Saccharomyces cerevisiae S288C: one gene and its partner. The protein of the gene in region 1 binds, or shares a complex with, the protein of each later gene. Each region holds a gene or a part of one and is shown on either strand. Other genes may lie near its edges. A codon is read from its position in the direction of its gene.

Region 1 (2,887 bases):
ATTGTTCTTTAGTGAAAGAAACTGGATACTTTGAAATAATAAGCGATTCGAACTTGGTAACGAGATCGGACATTGACTCTTGAAACTCTATATTATACTTTCTTATTCAATTGGGCCCTGAAGTAAAATACGTCGCACGCTGTGTTAGGTTATCCATATGACTGAAAAATTTTCTTATCTCTTGCAAAATCGCCAAGCGGTTAGAATCCCTCAGAAACTGAAGAAAAACGCTTAATCGTTAATAATGACTATCACATACCATTATCATTTATTTGTTCATATATATGTTCATATATATGTACATATATATATATATATATATATATATATGACTATTTATTGCTATGCATTATAAAGAAAGACTTGGCTCTCTGAATTACCAGTATGAAAAATGAAAAACCGCTGGCAAGTTTTCATTGCATAATGGCGCTTTTTTCGTTTTTATGTCGATAGGACTCTGTTATATAGTAATAAATGTCTAAATTTGCAGTTCCGCACTCTCATTGTCTCAAAACATCTTCGATGAACTTCTTGTAGTCAATTTCTCCGTTGCTGTCCACTTCAACACCCTTCAACAGCTCGTCTACTTCAGCGTCGGTTAACTTTTCACCCAAGCCAGTTAGCATGTACCTTAAGTCACCAACGGATACCTTGCCTGTACTTTCCTTGTCGAAGACCTGGAATGCCTTGACGAAGTCTTCTGTCTTTGCCTTGGTAGTTGCATCCAATTCCTTTTCGTTGACTTCAATTAGGCCTGTAATCTGGTCCAGCGTCAAGCTAGAGGCGTCTCTCAAGCTCGAATCCGCGTTTATGATGTCCTGTACGAGCTGGTTGGTGGGGTTGTAGCCAATTGCCCTCAGGTAATCTCCCAAGGAATCCTTGGCAATGGCGCCTTGACCCTTCTTGTCGAATAGTGTGAAAATATCTTTATTGGCTCTGGTGGCTGACATTGTTATTCTATGTATGTGCGATGGGTGGTGGCGGAATACGCTGGGGAAGGAACTCTTATACGTCGATCTACTCTGAGTATTATTTTGTTTCAAATCTTACTTCAAAATGCTTTTGTTACTACTCGTGTGTAATGATATATGGTTGAGGTTCCTGACTGAACAAGATTCGAAAAAATGTATTCAGTATGGCATTGTAATGAGGGTCTAAGCAATAAGTAAAAGAAGGTGAGGTTTCAGTGTCATTTTCTTACACTATTCGGAGAGTCCATATACTGCAAAAGGGACAATGATGCTTAGAAGAAATGCGGTGAGATCGTTAAAAACTATGGAAATAAGCGTAAGCAACGTTGTTAACTCCGGTTCGATAGCAATGCTGAGAGGTAAGCTTGCCAACGTAGTTCTTAGCGACCGTACTTACCACTCCAGTCCGATATTTCATAAAAATGTACCTAAGGGCGTTTTGGACAAGAAGAATGGGCGAGAACAGCGCAAAACAGAACAGAATGTGTTTAATGTGGATCCAGCTTCTCCATGGCGCCACGAGCTTCTTTCGTTTGATGAGTGTGTATCATCTGCTTTAAAGTACTCTACCACGCCTTTGCAAAATACATACAAAAGAATAGGAAACAACCAATTGAATAAAAATCCATCATTCGCCATGTTTTGGGACTCCATGGGCAGAGCAATGGAGTTATACTATTCTTTGAGAGAATCGCCTGATTTCAATGCGTACCGGGTGTCACGTTTGATTCATCTGCTGCATAACGGTCTGAGGTCGACGAGAGACCAATTGGTAAAATTAAGTAGAAAGCCAGACTACGATTCGCAATCTTTTCACAAGGAAATGATGAACTTTCTATGTAATTCATTAAAGGATATATCTGATGACATTTTGATAGGCAAGGTGTCTGTCAGCGGATATGGAGCTACTCATCTATTGACTTCATTTAAAGAGCTGTCATTTGACGATGACTGTATTCGAATTTGGGAAGCGTCAAAGAATTTGTCCGACGAGACTACTTCACAGGCATTCCAAGAACCAAAAGTGGTTGGTTTTATGCTGCCATTACTTTATGCAAAAACGCGTTCTCTGACTGAGCCTAACGAGCTATATAACCAAATTATTCAATCCAAAGAATTTATCCATCCCAATCTTTACAGCGGACTGATAAAAGTCTTCATCAAGGCGGAAGACTACGAAAAGGCATTATCCCTCTTCGGCCAATTATGTGAAAAGGCTGAAGTGAGGAATTACGGTTATTTAATTGAAACGCACTTAAGCTTCATTGGTGATTCCAAGAATTTAACGTTGGCAGAAAGTTTCTTTGACAAAATTATCAACGATGAAATGCCATACAAGATTATTTTACAAGTCTCTACAGTGAACTCTTTTTTGCAGAATATATGGAAAGCACAGAACGATTTTGATCATGTTTATAGAATATGGGAAAAGGCTGTAAAATTTTATGGTAACACTGTTAATCCTGGAATTTTGTCCTCACTAAACAACACTTTTTTCACAATATTCTTCGAAAACTATATTAATGACAATATCAATGGTTTCCGTAAGCTTCAAGAAATCATAACGTTTTACAGTGGGGTCAAAAAAATTGATGAACCATTTTTTAACGTTATGTTAACTAGAGCATCTATCTGGCACGAACGCAGCATAATCGATTTTATCGATAAAAACTATACTTTGTACCATATTCCAAGAACTATTATATCATATAGAATACTACTGAAATCATTGGGAAGCATAGACAACACGAATAATGAAGAGATTCTGGATAGATGGCTGGAGTTGGTCAAGAAACTGAATGAATTGGGCCAACAATATATAGCCAATGCTGATCTGTCCGCTTTGAGGGATGCCACTGTCGTATGGTCACAATCAAAGAGGGATGAAAAGGTCTTTTCTGCAAAAGCTAAAGGAA
Region 2 (7,116 bases), on another chromosome or scaffold:
TCAACAAGGTTGCTGAACGTGGTGAAAGGCTAACATCCATTGAGGACAAAGCTGATAACTTGGCTATCTCCGCACAAGGATTCAAGAGAGGCGCCAACAGGGTCAGAAAGCAAATGTGGTGGAAAGATCTAAAAATGAGAATGTGTTTATTCTTAGTTGTTATTATTTTACTAGTGGTAATTATCGTTCCTATCGTCGTCCATTTCAGCTAACGCTCATCGGTTCCCGATGCTAATTCTAAAAAATATATACAGTAGTCATAATAGTAATAATAATATAATCATAATTTATAAATTCAGTAAGAAGCAAAATGTAGTTTAATATAGTGTACACTAATACGGCGCGCGGTTAATATCTTCCATAATATCGATTTCATTATCATACTATTGACAAATACTTCTATTATTAATTAACTATGTAGTTTCATTTTTTTTTTTCTCTTTTTTTGTCATTTCTTTTTTTAGCATTCATGTACAATTTTGTTTCTCGCGCCATCAGTTTTAGTGGCCGTCTTGAACGACTTGTTGGGCAACAAGGTCAACTATTCTCTTAGTTGAGGGCAAGGATAACCACGCTGGTATATAGGCTTCTACTTGGTCAAATTTTCTTGTCTTTATCAAACTGAATGGGTCAGTAAATGGACCTGTTTCTGGAGTGATAAATATACTGCTGCTATGCTCGTGACCCTTAGAATCATTACCTGATGAAGATAACGCAGCTTCTTTCTTAACTATATCAGCAACGTATCTTAAGATTTCCTGTGGAATTGGAGACTCATAGTCTGCCACCTGGTATTGTGAAATCAATTTTTGCAATTGTGCAGGTGTTAGCGAATAACAAATTCCTCTTAAGATATCAATGTCTTCGATAGTATACTTACGGACTTGCAGTAGCTTAGCGGTCTGAATCAAATGTTGTAAGCACTCAGTACCATCTGTCAAGCCATGCGTCTTGCACCATTCCTCTAATCTAGTAACGTTGTAGTTCAATTGAAGACCCCTTTTCCACGACAAGAAATTACGTTTCATGATTAATTCGTTAAAACAAATTGCATCCACATAATTCAATAAGGTTGTGACTACAGCATGGAACACTTCATTCTCAATATGAAAAGATTTCATGCACCAGTATATGCTGTTGAAAAAGGTCAAAATGTCGTCCATTGTATATTCTTCAGTGTTAGCAAAAATTTTGTTCAAAAACCCGCTGGTTTCTCCCGCGCTGAAACCTGGTAATGATTCGGAGATGACCACAGCATTGATGGCCTTTTTTTGCAATTGCTTCTGCAATTTCTTCAGCCAAATGTTATATATATTATAACTTAGAGCTTCGAAATCATCCTTTAGTTCTGTGACCAATGAAACATACTCCTTATACTCCTCATCGGTCATGCCGTTTTTGAACGTTTCTTCGGTTAAAATAGAGTTTAGAGCAAACACCACAAATGAGTATAACTCTCTAACGTTTGCTAACCAGAATACACCGCTTGGAATTAAATCGTTACCCTTCAATTGAGTGACAACTTTTTGAATTGTAGTCAATACTTGGGCAAGAAAGCTTTCACTTTGCTTGGTCAGCCCAAATCTCCACATTTCACTTAAAACTATAATCAGTATTCTAGCCGGATAAACAACGTCTCTTTTACTTAGTTGAATAGCTACACCAGCATCCGGTACTTCGAATCCCTTTAACAGGCCTTCCGTGATTTCTTGATTCAAAATTTCAGTGTCCTCCAATAACCTGTATAACTCTTCATTGATTTGTGTAGCATTGACACCATTTTCGCGATCGACACTCAATGAATCAATGTGGTTGTTTCCGGACGATGGAGTAGATCTAGACTTTAGATTCAAATCATTAGGAGATAAGTCGGAATTCTCAAGCATCATATTGTTGAAATTTGAAGCACCGCCTCCCATTACATCCTTTAATGGTGTTTGAGGTAGTACACTAGTAGTAACGGTGCCCAGCGACATGGCAGTTTGTAACCTAGCAATTTCTTCCTTTAAAGATTTAACTTCGTTTTGCAAGTCTCCGTTTAATGTCTGGTATTCAACCAATGTTTTCTTTGTTTGCTCTAATTCTTCAAGTTGCTTTTTAGATTCTTCTTTCAATTCATCATGTTGTTTAACCATGTCCTCCAACTCTAATTGAGCGTCCTTTAGAGTTTGTTCAGTGGATTGCAAATTGTTCTCAATAGTTTTTTGTAATTCCATATCCTTAGATTTCTGATTATCAATATCTATTAAGTGCTCTTTTTTCATATTTTCTAATGTCTCTTGTAACTTGGCACTTTCTTCCACTTGAACCTGTAGTTCTTTAATTCTTTCTGTCATTTCTTTATTTTCTTTGACCTTGGATGCTAGATTCTGCGTCAGTTCAATCACTTTATTCTCTAATTTATAGCTCACTTCTTTCAGATGATTAACTGATTTAGCGTCTGCCTTCAATTGTTTCAATTTCCTTTGAGCAGCTCTTCTTCTGATCAAAGATTGGACAACAACAGTGTCTTTTTTAGTGCGTAAAAATCTCGATCTCGGCTCAAAGGTCCTAACTTTACTTTGAATAGTTACCGCAGCATTATATTCATGTTCTTGTTTCAGTTGTCTTTGTTTTAGTTCCTTTCTAATTTTCTTTTGCAAATTTGTAATTGTTCTCAATACGCTGAACACATTGGCACGGATGGAATGACCCCTGTAAGCGGCCTGTAATAAAGTTGCACAGTTAACTTTCATTTCATCATTAACGCGTTGACGAATGATGAAACCTTTGATGTTGTTCTGCAAATACTTGATGGCCTGAGATATTTGCAAATACTGCTTACGGTAATATTTAGCTCTAATTTTCTTCTGGATCATAACAATTGAATTATGCATCTTATTGCTTCTAAGTTTTTCCAGATATGCAAGCATACCTGCTTTGAAGAAAATTTTTGTATTACCAATCTGGTACTTGGATTTGTCCTTTACAGTAGCATCTAGGATCATTTTAACCACTGATATGATATCTTCTTCTGTAGTTTCCTTTTTTTTGAAGATTAGGTCCCACTGCTCATGTGGTATCAAGATGTAATATCTTAATACAAATTCTTCAAAAGTCCACCTAGAAGGAAACCCAGCACAAGATATTCTAATAGTTTCCAAAACACCACAGGCTCTGAGTTGAGACAACACCATCAAATTATCAAATTGCCAAGCTTCTTTATCTGCATTAGGCTTTATACAACGAATATAATGAACATTAGTTGAGTTGATGGTATTCATTAGTTCAATCAAAGATTGCTTAAACATGGAACCTAAAGTGGGTTTCCTGTTAACCGTTCTTATCGGACCTGGCTTTTTACTGCCAGCCTGCTCTAATTCAAGCTTTTTCGCTTCTTCCAGTTTTTTGGCAGCTTTTTCTAATCCCTCTAAGATATTTATTAGTGTCTCGTTGGTAGAAGCCTTCAACACTTCCAAATGTCCGTCAGATACGGTGTCTCTATTTTTTTCAATAAATCCTTCCACATCATAAGCGACATCTAGAGCATAATGGCTCACGATAAATTTAGTTTGCCCGAATCTTGGTTTAGAAAATACTTTGTTCGTAGGAGATTTATCCAAAGTTTGATAAAGTTTTTGGGTCCAAGATTCGTCGGAACCAGCAGGTAACCTACTTTCTTCGTCAAGCAGTGATAAAATACCCAACTTGTTTTCAATCAGATCAATACAAGGTTGATTATCATTAAACTCTATAAAAGACCATTCAATTTCTTCTTTAACGTATTCTTCTTGCTCTAATTTGAAAACATGTTGGTTGAACTCTTGTTGTAGTTTTTCGTTGGCATAGTTAATACAAAATTGTTCAAATGAATTTTTTTCAAAATGTTCAAACCCATAAATATCCAGAACACCAATAAATGAGCTAATTTGGTCGTTCACAGCCGGGTTGCATAACACGGTGTTGATATTTTCCACAAGCCAATCGAAAAGGGCGGAATAAATAAACTTAGCCACGGAATCTTTGGCAACCAGAGCTTGACTATAATTTAGATTCGAAACAATTTTCTCTGACCTTGTAATGATCTGCTTTTTGGTGACCCATTTGGCAAAGTTGTAGGCATCAATTCCCAGCAATTCGCACGCCAGTTTCAGGTTTGGCTCATCAGCTGATAGTGATGCATCATTTCTAGTTTTTTTAATTTCTATGTTACCGATATGCAGAAGTGCGGCCAAGATCTTAAATATTTGGTGTTGAGTTTCCTTGGTGATTCCGACTAATGTCAATGCATCTACTGTAATTTTGTATTCTTTGGCATCATCAATACCGTTGATCTTGGTGTCACCGCCTTGGTTCATGTAGAAGTAATCTGAGGCATCGGTAAGATGCAATTCCTCCTTGGTTTGAGCTGGTAATCCAGCCATTAATTGATAAAATATGTGGTAGTTTCTCTCAATTGGCGGCTGGTAAACTAATCTGGACCGTTCCAACAAGTATGTGCGGATCCTTGCTCCAATAATAGATGTGTCCTTATCGAATAAAATTTCTAGATACTTACCAAATCTGGAAGAATTGTCATTTCTGGTAGTCTTAGCATTACCAAATGCTTCCATGATAGGGTTTGTAGCTAGAATCTTTTGTTCTGTTTCCGACATTTCCACTTGATGTTGTACAGTAGCGGAATTTTCCTCTTCTACAGAAGCAAAATAACGCATAATATACTTGGCAGAAACCGTTTTTCCAGCACCAGATTCACCACTTACCACAATGGTTTGATTTTGTTTGTCATTTTTCATCAACCTATACGCTTCTTCGGCAATGGCAAACAAGTGAGGTTCCAGTTCACCTCTGCGCTTTCCCGCATATGCTTGGATCATGTCTTGTGTATAAAGCTGGTCGACACGATCAAAAGGGTTTGTAGCAATCAGAACAATACCCGAGTATGTGTAGATATTCAATTGAGAATAGCGCTGTTTGATGGCATGTAAAACAGCTGGCTCATTCAAGTAAGATAAAGAGGTCAAATCTTCCGTTGCTTCCAAAATGGGAGGGTTTCTAAGAAGCGGTAGAGATTGGTCCTTATCGTTATTCAAGTCTTTTGTGTCCACGGACACGATTTCATCGTCTTCCAATTGTAACTCCAGGTGGTACTTGCCGTCGTTGAACTCATTTTTGATTACTTCCGCCCCAATCCAGCCCAATTCTTTATGGGGATACCAGCATCGTGTACCCACTTCAAAAGACATTATACGCTGTAATATCTGCTGTTTTTATGTCCTATATGTACAATGGTATAAGTATCGCTGTCCAATGGAATGGTGTCGAATAGTACCTTAGAAAACAAAAAACAAGCAAGCAGCCAGAAATCGAACGAATAATTTCAAGCGAGAAAAGTGAAATGACTTTGCGAGACTTTTTTGTTCTCTGATTGGCCTTGCAAAGTTGATAGATCTCTGAAACGCAGGCTACGAATCGTATCAAATGAAGGCGTGTTTGGGATTTCTGATATTTGGCTTTTCGAGAAGCGCGATCATAAACAAAAAAAAGGAAAAAATCACAAAATAGCCCTGGGTCGGGTAATAGTTTTTGCCCTACGTTTTCGTAAATGTGTCACTAGGTGCAATTGCCAATAATTAATTGTAACCTACTCAATATCTATTTTAGCCCTACATACGTTAGGGTCGAAAATCTGTTGGGGTTTTGGTTTTAACAGCGTAAACTAAACCAGATAAGCATCGAGAAACGGCGCTTGGCACATCGTATATCAACAAGACAAACCAGTGACCGGAGTTCTGAGGCGTCTTCGAGCCTATTTATTTATTGATCTGGGTCGGATAGTTCACCCTATTTGTGGAGGAAAAGACCTTCCCATATCTAAATTTTTTTTTTTTTTTGGTTTAAGTTATAGTTGATACATTAAGTGAAAATGAACTTGCTAATTGACCGGATGGAGAATCCCGGATCGAGGAACTGTACCCTGTTACCTCCTTCATTCCCAAGAGGCTTTTGTAAGGGAAGAAGGGCTTCCAGTGGCGACGCAGTGAAGATAAAAGAATCCGGTCTACAGCCGCAGCCGCAGCCGGAACCTCTACAAGCTAAAACAAATGTTGCACACTTTTCGAAATCATCTTCTAGATTACCTGTCATAGCAGTGAATGATAATCCGGTGGTCCCAAGACCAAGCACTGAAGTAAACTTGGGATCGTTGTTACAAAAGGAAAGGGAGAAAGAAAAGGAGGAACAGCCTGCGCTGCATGATAGGAGACATTTATATGTGACAAAGAATAGGGCACATGGGGTACGACAACGTTCATTGGAAATGACTAGCTTACCTGTCCTGGGATCGACCAAAACCGGGAAGTTTAGCGATTTTTTGTTTGAAGATGACATCGATAACAGAGTAGGTCGACACAGTAGATCATATAGTGGGGCATCCAGTTTGGATGATCCATTCAGAGTGTCGCCGAAAACCGACTTCAACTCTAATAGGGCCAGATTGTCTTGCCTTAGTAAAGGACGTCGTGGTTCGATGTCCGTTTTCCAAAGCTGTCATACTGGGCTAGCTTTCAATCAAATACAGGGTTCCTCCTCTTCGCAACGTAGATCATCCGCTGGTTCTTTTGATTATGAGAGGAAACGATTGGTTAACCAATTTTTACAGCCTTCTTTGGGAAATTCAGACCCATTTGATACGTTGAGGGAGTCGGTAGTGTTTGAGCCCTCATCCACCGCTGGCGGCATTAAATTAGGGAATATGCATTCTCAATCACAAATTTCCGTAAACTCCTCCCCCAGCACATCTTTGTTTTATCATGATTTGGACGGTTCTGCTGTCAACGATTCTTCGTCATTTCTGTATTCCCGTTCTAATGTACCAGCATTTTTGTCGTCATCAGCCTTTTCGTCCACGTCATCCACCTCATCAGATTCAGAAGATGTGGATAGAAGAAGTTTAAACGGTGTATATCCCTCTTTAGGATATTTGACTAACCAGAGGAAACCAAGGAATTCATCAGGCTCTTCCACTGCACCTGGCACCGATACCTTGGGATTTAAGTATTTACTGAATAGGCAGAAGTCAGCGGATTCTTCCACTAGGTTCAAGAGTGTACTGAAGGTGAACAATAATAATGGCTC

What was found.
Region 2: the proteins of MLC1 (region 1) and MYO2 are in contact, whole or in part, in a crystal structure (PDB 1N2D), measured with the Saccharomyces cerevisiae proteins. Residues at the interface, in NP_011409.1 of Saccharomyces cerevisiae: Leu13 (codon at 914), Phe14 (codon at 911), Lys16 (codon at 905), Asp29 (codon at 866), Arg32 (codon at 857), Ala33 (codon at 854), Gly35 (codon at 848), Tyr36 (codon at 845), Asn37 (codon at 842), Thr39 (codon at 836), Asn40 (codon at 833), Ala77 (codon at 722), Thr78 (codon at 719), Lys80 (codon at 713), Ala81 (codon at 710), Asp85 (codon at 698), Phe86 (codon at 695), Lys88 (codon at 689), Ala89 (codon at 686), Phe90 (codon at 683), Val92 (codon at 677), Met109 (codon at 626), Leu110 (codon at 623), Leu113 (codon at 614), Gly114 (codon at 611), Glu115 (codon at 608), Lys116 (codon at 605), Leu117 (codon at 602), Glu121 (codon at 590), Glu124 (codon at 581); in NP_014971.1 of Saccharomyces cerevisiae: Ile807 (codon at 2,807), Ala810 (codon at 2,798), Ile811 (codon at 2,795), Lys812 (codon at 2,792), Tyr813 (codon at 2,789), Leu814 (codon at 2,786), Gln815 (codon at 2,783), Asn816 (codon at 2,780), Asn817 (codon at 2,777), Ile818 (codon at 2,774), Lys819 (codon at 2,771), Gly820 (codon at 2,768), Phe821 (codon at 2,765), Ile822 (codon at 2,762), Ile823 (codon at 2,759), Arg824 (codon at 2,756), Gln825 (codon at 2,753), Arg826 (codon at 2,750), Val827 (codon at 2,747), Asp829 (codon at 2,741), Glu830 (codon at 2,738), Met831 (codon at 2,735), Asn834 (codon at 2,726).

The regions. Positions count from the first base shown.
Region 1 is NC_001139.9:304,623-307,509, reverse strand, and holds MLC1 (Mlc1p), read right to left. Parts: upstream 951-2,887; coding exon 501-950; downstream 1-500. Other genes in the region: ARC1 (Arc1p), read right to left, coding at 1-73; RMD9 (Rmd9p), read left to right, coding at 1,237-2,887. UniProt on the Saccharomyces cerevisiae protein: Essential light chain for the class II conventional myosin MYO1. Also acts as light chain for the class V unconventional myosin MYO2 and for IQG1.
Region 2 is NC_001147.6:923,830-930,945, reverse strand, and holds MYO2 (myosin 2), read right to left. Parts: upstream 5,226-7,116; coding exon 501-5,225; downstream 1-500. Other genes in the region: SNAP receptor SNC2, read left to right, coding at 1-212; FRT1 (Frt1p), read left to right, coding at 5,906-7,116. UniProt on the Saccharomyces cerevisiae protein: Myosin heavy chain that is required for the cell cycle-regulated transport of various organelles and proteins for their segregation.